Callithrix jacchus: one gene and its partner. The protein of the gene in region 2 interacts with the protein of the main gene of each other region in a biochemical or structural test. Links are inferred from orthologs where the notes say so. Each region holds a gene or a part of one and is shown on either strand. Other genes may lie near its edges.

Region 1 (4,269 bases), on a different chromosome or scaffold from region 2:
AACCCAGCGAAAAGGCTTCTCTTTCTGCTGCTCACCATCGTCTTCTGCCAGATCCTGATGGCTGAAGAGGGTGTGCCGGCGCCCCTGCCTCCGGAGGACGCCCCCAGCGCCGCATCCCCGGCTTCCACCCCTGTGCTCCCTGTTCTCGAGGCCTTTAATCTGACCTCGGAGCCCTCGGACTACGCTCTGGACCTCAGCACTTTCCTCCAGCAACATCCGGCCGCCTTCTAACTGTGACTCCGCACTTCCAAAAAAGAATCCGAAAAACCACAAAGAAACACCAGGCGTACCTGGTCCGAAAGAGCGTATCCCAAACTGGGACTTAGAGGCAATTCGAACTCAGAACACTACAGCGGAGACTCCTGCAGGTGCTTGAGGCGGGCCAAGGCGCACAGAGACCGAGGCACGGCCACGCTGGGGCTAGGCCCGGTGGGAAGGAGAGCGTCGTTAATTTATTTCTTATTGCTCCTAATTAATATTTATATGTATTTATGTACATCCTCCTAGGTGATGGAGGGGTGCACGTAATATTTATTTTAACTTATGCAAGGGTGTGAGATGTTCCCCCTACTGTAAACGCAAGTCTCTTGGTATTTATTGAACTTTGTGGGACTGGTGGAGGCAGGACACCTGGAACTGCGGCAGAGTAGAAGAAATGGGGAGGACTCGGGTGGGGGAGGACGTCCCGGCTGGGGTCAAGTCTGGTGGTGGGTCGTAGGTTTAGGAGGTGACATTGCGTCCTCCAGCCTCTCAACTCCGTCTGTCTACTGTGAGACTTTGGCGGACCGTTGGGCAGGAGATCCGTGGCCTTCGATCTCCTCGAAGTCGCCCTTAAAGGGCGGCTGCGGGGTAGAAGGTTGGGGGTTGGTGGGCTGTCACGGGGCGACTGTCGAAATCGCCGAGTATGTTCTGTGAACAAATAAACTTGATTTACTGTCTGCAGTCTTAAGTGTGTCTTTGCAAGCGCCGACTCCCCACTCCTCCCCGTCTTCAGATGCCGAGGACCGGCGGGAGGCGCAGTGGCCAAGTCCCCAGCCAGCGAGCCCCTTTAACTGGAGTCAGAGAACCCAGCATCCGGTTGCCGGATGCAGTCGTTCATTGCCTAGTTTGCGGTTTTCCCAGGTAGTTGCCCCGCGGCGAATCCGAAATGTGGCAATCACCCTTACGCCGGGGTGCCGGGTCCGCCGAGGTCAAGTCCCGCGCCTGGGGCGGAGCTTGGAACAGCCTGGGCGGTTCTCCTCTCAGGAAGGGCGGTGGTTTGGGCGGCAGGGCCTTGGCCCTCCCCGGGCTAACCAGGCCCCGGGCTGCGGACCCGAGCGGGGCCTGCCGGGAAAGGGGCGGGACGAGCGCGCGGGCCGAGGCGTGGCGAGGTGGGGGTGTTTAGTCCGCTGCGGGGGGCGGGGTCGCGTCTGCCGCAGCAACAGGGTGCGGCAGGGTGGGGAACGCGGGAGCAGGCCCAGCTCCCAGGAAGGCTGGTCGGCGAGCGGCCCCTGCTCGGCTTCCAGGTCCCTGCGCGTCCCCGCCCTTCCCTAGACCCCAGCCCGGCCGCCACCCGCGTCCGGGAAGGTGAGTCGGGGAGGGGAGCCTGGGGCTGCGGAGAAGCAGGGAGGGAGGGGAAAGGGCTGCAGGTCTCTGGGCGCGGGGGACCTTTATCAAAGGGGAAACCGTCGGCTCCGAGGCGGGAGAGCGGCTAGGGGAAGGGAGGAACCGTAAACAGGCGGGGAACAGGTCGCTTGGGATCTTAAGGATTTCGCAGGGGAAAGCCTTAGCAGACCCATGGATGCAGAAGGGACGGGCTGTGGCGGATGCAGACTGGGAGGGCCTGATGGGGAAGGTAAAGGATGGACCCCTGTGGACGCCACAGCCCCGCTTCCCCATTCGCAAAGGCTTTCCCTCCCTCCTCCAGCTCCAGCCTAAACAATGTTTTTCACCTGTGGCCCAAATGAGGCCATGGTGGTCTCCGGTAAGTACTTTTCCCTTCCCAGCCAGTGGCTCCAGAACCTCTGTGAGTCTGGCTTCTGCCCCTTCTCCCTTCCTACCAGCTTCCCAGCGCCAGACTTATGCCCCCGAACTGCCCAGTTTCATCCCCACCATTTCAAGGCCCAAACTGCTTCCCCTCCAGCTCCCAGATACTCTCCTGTGGGTTGCTTTCCCCTCACCCCCGCCAGATCCTCAGTCTTCCACATTCAAGCTCTGCCACAGTTGCTCACTGCTCCTCACCTTGCAGGGTTCTGCCGAAGCCCCCCTGTCATGGTGGCTGGAGGACGTGTCTTTGTCCTGCCCTGCATCCAGCAGATCCAGAGGTAGGCAAGATGGGAACTAAGGAAGGGGAACCTCCGTTTTCTCTTTTTCCTCCTTTTCTTACTGTCTGCCCCTTCTTTTTCCCTTAGGATCTCTCTCAACACACTGACCCTCAATGTCAAGAGTGAAAAGGTTTACACTCGCCATGGGGTCCCCATCTCAGTCACTGGCATTGCCCAGGTGAGGCTCTCAGAGCCTTTTCCCCAAAGTCCATTTCCCCATTACCCTCTTTCCCAGACATTAAGACATGTTCCGGCCACAACCTTTGCAATCCTTGCCTGCAGAGAAATTTCTCTGCTAGTCTCATCTTCTCCAGGCACCCACAAGGCACTTGGCTCCTCCTCCTTTCTTTCCCTGAAATGGAAGAAGCATTTCTTAGCGGGCTCCCCCTTCTCTCTCTGCTTCTTCTCTGACTTAATGAGATCCCCACCACACCTTTCCTGTCCCTATTCTGGCTGCAGGTAAAAATCCAGGGGCAGAACAAGGAGATGTTGGCAGCCGCCTGTCAGATGTTCCTGGGAAAGACTGAGGCTGAGATTGCCCACATTGCCCTGGAGACGTTAGAGGGCCACCAGAGAGCCATCATGGCCCACATGACTGTGGAGGTTGGCCTGGGGGCAGGGAACGATCTGGAAGGATGCCAAAATGAGGGGGGCCCAAGGACCACACTAGCCTGTGAGAGACAGTGGATCCAAGAGCTTCCATCCCAGCCGGGCAGGGTGGTTCCCAGCACTTTGGGAGGGCAGGGTGGGTGGATCACTTGAGATCAGGAGTTCGAGACTAGCCTGGCCAACCTGATGAAACCCCGTCTCTACTAAAAGTACAAAAATTAGCCAGGCATGGTGGTAGTCATCTGTAATCCTAGATACTTGGAAGGCTGAGGCAGGATAATCATTTGAACCCAGCAGGTAGAGGGTGCAGTAAGCCAAAAACGAAAGAGCTTACATCCCCTCTCCCCACCATCCTGTTATTACAGGAGATCTATAAGGACAGACAGAAATTCTCAGAGCAGGTTTTCAAAGTGGCCTCCTCAGACCTGGTCAACATGGGCATCAGCGTGGTTAGCTACACTCTGAAGGACATTCACGATGACCAGGTAAAACTAGGTGATTGATCCTTCCCCATTTCCTTGCTCCCATCTCTTAAGCCCTCCGAAGGGTTAATTTCTACATGTCTCCTACAGGACTATTTGCACTCTTTGGGGAAGGCTCGAACAGCTCAAGTTCAAAAAGATGCACGGATTGGAGAAGCAGAGGCCAAGAGAGATGCTGGGATCCGGGTGAGAGAGATGGGGGTTGCTTGGTGGGAAAGGGGATAGAAGTGGCACAACTGAGTAGGAGCAGGAGTGCTGGGTGAGCAGGGAAAATACATGAGGCAGACCAAGAACGCTGGTGGGAAGTGGCTCTCACCATGGCCTTTCCTCTCCCTCCCCTGACATTTCCTACCTGATCTCTGCTTCCACAGGAAGCTAAAGCCAAGCAGGAAAAGGTGTCTGCTCAGTACCTGAGTGAGATCGAGATGGCCAAGGCACAGAGAGATTACGAGCTGAAGAAGGCCGCCTGTGACATCGAGGTCAACACCCGACGAGCACAGGCTGATCTGGCCTATCAACTTCAGGTCAGAGCCACCGCACTGGGCAGACGGCCGGCCCACTCTCTGCCCCTTCCCCATTCCTCTCAGGCTGTCCATCTCAGGACACCACTATTTCTCATACTCTTTGATCTTATTCTGAGTCTCCATCTCTGGCTCAACTCCCCCATTTGAGGAAAGATTTAAAAGACTCAGATGTTACAGCTGAAAAGCTTTAAAGAAAAGGCCAGCCAGGTGTGGTGACTCATGCCTGTAATCCCAGCACTTTGGGAGGCCCAGGCAGTCTGATCACTTGACCTCAGGAGTTAAAGGCCAGCCTGGGCAACATGGTGAAACCCTGTCTCTACAAAAAATACAAACATTAGCCAGGTGTGGCAG
Region 2 (4,290 bases):
AACCATAAATAACCCAGCAAGTTAAACATCCACAGGGAAAGAGAACAAATTACAGAAACTCCCTTTCCTCAGCAATCTATCATCTCACCCTCATCACCCACAGACAACCACTCACTCTGGGGTCTGTGTCTCTCACTCTGGGCCATTCTAGCTCTGAATTATTTATGTACAGTTAAACCTCAAAAATCACACAATCAAGGGAAAGGTAGATGTGAGTCCAACAGAAGCCTGAGTTCTAGAATGCTTCTTTCATGCCATTGTGCAATACTTGGAATTTAATATCAGTTTAGCAAACAAGAAACTAAAAATGCCATCACAAACTGTGACTCTAAGAACAGTAGAGTTGTCAGGAACCCTGGAAGACCCTCTGCTCTAACATCCTCCACTTCATCAGCAAGGATACAGGCCCAGAGAGCAGAAGCCACTAGCCCAAAGCCCAAAGATTAGTGGCCAGGACCAAAGCCAGCTGACCTGCCTCTGGTCCAGAGCTCTCTTCCACCAAAGCTTTTGGAAACCATCCCTGCCTTTCTCCTACAGACAGGTCAAATCCTACCATGGAGTGCCCTCTACAGCAAATCTATCTCCACATCCAGGGAGGGGTCTGGAGATAAGTCTGGATGATCTGAAGATTATCAATGCTGCACAATAAAAGCTTTCTTTCCTGGGCCCTGCCCTTTCATTCTTTGCAAAGAAAACCCTAGACTCTGCTATCTGTATTGAACTCTATTTTAGAGAAGGGGAAAGAGGGGAACAGCTGAACAGTGCTTTGTTCTGCCAGGAAGAAGCATTTGCTCATCCTTTCCCATAACTCCTACCCACTCCCCAATATGCCCGATCCCTTCTGAAAAGTTTACAGAAACTCTCCAGCTACAACAAATGAAAGCAGGTAGGAATGGGTGTCGTCCACAAGATAATACCCTCCCATCTCTTTACCCCAGAGGGTAGACAGGACTTCATTTCAGTTGCTATTTCTCTGCAGGGAAGTCGCCAAAGGAGTGGTCTCAGGGCCCTCCAGCTGAGAAACGTGCTCTGAAACCCCTTGAGAACTAACCCTTTCCTAACAATCTGCTCCAATGGTGCCTAGGGCAAAGGTACCAACAGACCAATCCTTCCCTCTTTTCCCCTCAGGCCAAGAAGACATCAGAGCTTGGTTGGCGAGGGGCTATTTAAAGCAGCATCTAGAGGGCAGGGCAGAGAACTGCTGGAGGCATCCTCTTCCTCCACCCCTCCCCATCACAGCCCCAAAAATATGCCCCTCACTCAGAAGACAGCCATCTACCTTATCTGTGTCTGAAAGCTGAAGATATGTCCATCATGTTTTCTATCATTGATGCTGCTGACCCCGCTGCTGCCCACCCCATTTTTAATCCAACCCTCCTCTCTTCGATCACACCAAGCTACCTTTTCAACCAAAAACACAGAATTGAATCTAAGCAGAGGAGCTCAAAACACAAGGAGAGTGAAGACAGCCAATCCGTCCACAGCCTCCCCTTAAGAGAGGAAAAAGGGCGCGGGGGGCGGGGGGCTGTTGAGGGGAGAGATGGAGTCAGAGGCCTGACATGCCAGATAGGTTCCATGATGTCTCTAGATGAACCTCTCTCCTATTGACGGTGAAACCAATTCCAGCAATTTCAGCAGGTCGGCCCTGTGACAACAGGGGCATCCAGCGCTCAGTATTTAAAACAAAAATCCAAAGGCTCGCCCAGAACCTGCTGGGAAAACCCGGGGACTGAATAAAACGAGCCACGCTCAGTGGGATCCCTTCTGCTTTTATGTAGCAATGTAATAGCGTAATAAATTCTTGTCTGCCTGGAGAAAGCATGCACTGGTGAATTTCAAAGCCATCTTACAACAGCGGAGGCATGGGGATGCAGAATTCGACCGCACATTCCCCCCCATGAAGGAAACATAATGACTTCAAGCCTCTTTCCCTCTATCTTGAATGGCGCTACCGCGTATCTAGGAAGCCACGTCGAAAAGCAGCGAGGTGAGAGCGGGGGATGCCCGGGGAATTCGGAGAAAGGAGTTGCTTGCTGTCCATGTCGGTGACGAGCTGCCTAGCAAGATGCTGTCAGCCACTCGGGGAGAGGAAGGGGCACGGGCGGCACGGGCAGGCGCGGTGTCCCCGGCGCACACTCGTCCCGGTTCATTCAGGCGGGTCCGGCCAGCCGAGGCGTCCTCGCGCCCCTCCCGCCACCCTCTCCCAGGGATGCTGATGAATGAACACACCTGAGATGCCTCCATCCTGCCGCTCGCTCCCTCCGCCTTCCTCTGGCTGCTGCAGAGGTGCCCCTCCTCGGTAGTTTCACTTTACAGCACAAACCCATCCGGGGTTTGATGTCTCTTCCACCCACCCACATTGCAGCCACCCTGAGACGGGAGGACATTCTCTCCTAGCAGAGGCCATGATCGCACTACCCTCCACCCACCAAAATAAGAAAAAAAAAAAACACCCAACCCTGGAAGCCCTCATATCCTCCGCACCCTGGGGAACTCTCCTTGAAAGACTGGGGATCCGCCGAGCAGGCAGGATGCACGGTTCGGACGCGGGCGACCACCGCTTTCCCCGTGCCCATCGGGGGATGCTCTGGGGGAGGGGGGGTCCCCCAGGTCCCTCCAACAGCTGGCCCTTTAAATGCGCCTCCTCCGGGCGCGGAACAAAGGCGCCGCCCGCGGGGGCCTGGCCGCGCACACCCCCGGCGTTGCCGCCGCCGAGCGGGCGAGCGCGGACGGGCGGGCGCTGGCTTACCTTGCTGGTCGCCGGGCGGGCGGGCTGCGCGCGTCCGCCCCTCTCGCACTACACGCTGCAAGCTGGCCCCGCTCTGTTTTTCTGGGACTCGGAGCTGACTTCACCAACACTCCGCGGACCGCCAATGGGCTGCGGCGCCCGCCCCCTCATTAGCATGCCTCTGGAACCGTCCACTCTGGCAGCTCCCGGCCAGCGGGCGGTGCCAGGGGGCGGTGCCGGGCCCAGCCGTGACAGGAAGGGGCGTGTGCGTGGATGGGAGGCAAGGAAGCGTCCGGCGCCCGGCCCGAGTCTCCCGGCTTTGTGAGCCCGCCGGTAACGCGCGCGCGGGCCAAGTATCACTTTCCGTCCTGGCCAGGCCGCGGACTGGGCCGGACGCTGGCCTGACGCACCTTCTGGTCCTTCAAGAGGGGTCGCCCACGGAGAGCTTGGAAGAACCCTTAAATGTAAAATGACAGCGATAAGTTACTTAACCCCTGGACCTCAGTTTACCCATCAGTAAAATGGCATAATAGTACCGATTTCGTAAAATCTAGTGAAGATTAACATAGTTAACATACGTGATGCGTTTAGATCAGTGCCTGGCTGTCGTGCTACAATAAACGTTTGCTGTTATCATCAGTGTGCTCTGTACCAGCCAATGTGCTTAATGCTTCCTGGATATTTCCTCATTTGATCCTCTCAGCCTGGTAAGAGAGGAACGATTACTAATCCATATTTTTCAAGTGGGAAAACTGAAAATAATTACTATTTTTTAAGCGAGAAAACTGAGATGTAGTTTAAGTGGCTTGTCCGAGGTCATACAGCAAGTGGGGCAATCAGGATTTGAACCCAGGCTCTGAGGTTTCACTCATGCAACACACATATTTTTAGAGGCTCTGTGGCAGTGCCGGACCCTGGTGTTAACTGCAGAGAACAAGACAGGCAAGGCCTCTTCCTTCAGGAAGCTTCCATTTTAATGGCAAACAAGTAAGTAAGATCCTCTGCAATGTGAAAAGTAGAGTGAATACAATGCAACAGGGTCATTGCAAGTGGAGGGAAGGCACCGTGTTGGATAGGGTTCAGAGCTAGCCACTGTGCTATACCATTCTCCTGAGCTCCTCTAGTCCCCCTCAGAGTTACAGAAAAGGAAACAGAGGCAGGGATCAGAGTGAGGAAACTGCTGGCCCAAGGTCGCGGAGCCAGCAAGTACTGGTCTGGAACTTGCTCCCTCCATGACTGTGTTCCCACATCCCTGAAGATAAGACAGTCGCCCCTTGGCCTGAGCACAACTGATGTTTGTCAGCTGCCCTTGCAAAAATCTTCAGCCAGAGCACATTCTCAGTGAACAGGCTGTGGGTGGCAGGGTAAAGACTGGCCTTGATGACTGCACAGGCTGATTGGAAACTCATCAGCAAAGGTTCTTAGATGTCAGGGAACAGTGACACGTCTTTGGTGACCACCTGGTATCCTCTACTGTGTATTAAAAAACAATAGACCGGGCGCGGTGGCTCACGCCTATAATGCCAGCACTTTGAGAGGCCGAGGTGGGTGGATCACGAGGT

What was found.
Region 1: the proteins of SORBS1 (region 2) and FLOT1 form a complex in vitro, tested with the Homo sapiens proteins (2 studies listed by BioGRID). The link is inferred for Callithrix jacchus from reciprocal best matches to the Homo sapiens genes SORBS1 and FLOT1.

The regions. Positions count from the first base shown.
Region 1 is NC_133505.1:35,533,630-35,537,898, reverse strand, and holds the start of FLOT1 (flotillin-1), read left to right. Parts: upstream 1-1,382; 5' UTR 1,383-1,566; intron 1,567-1,906; 5' UTR 1,907-1,920; coding exon 1,921-1,963; intron 1,964-2,227; coding exon 2,228-2,303; intron 2,304-2,390; coding exon 2,391-2,481; intron 2,482-2,762; coding exon 2,763-2,906; intron 2,907-3,277; coding exon 3,278-3,397; intron 3,398-3,484; coding exon 3,485-3,580; intron 3,581-3,765; coding exon 3,766-3,918; intron 3,919-4,269. Other genes in the region: IER3 (radiation-inducible immediate-early gene IEX-1), read left to right, coding at 1-231. UniProt on the Homo sapiens protein: May act as a scaffolding protein within caveolar membranes, functionally participating in formation of caveolae or caveolae-like vesicles.
Region 2 is NC_133513.1:88,432,963-88,437,252, forward strand, and holds the start of SORBS1 (sorbin and SH3 domain-containing protein 1), read right to left. Parts: upstream 2,804-4,290; 5' UTR 2,750-2,803; intron 1-2,749. UniProt on the Homo sapiens protein: Plays a role in tyrosine phosphorylation of CBL by linking CBL to the insulin receptor. Required for insulin-stimulated glucose transport. Involved in formation of actin stress fibers and focal adhesions.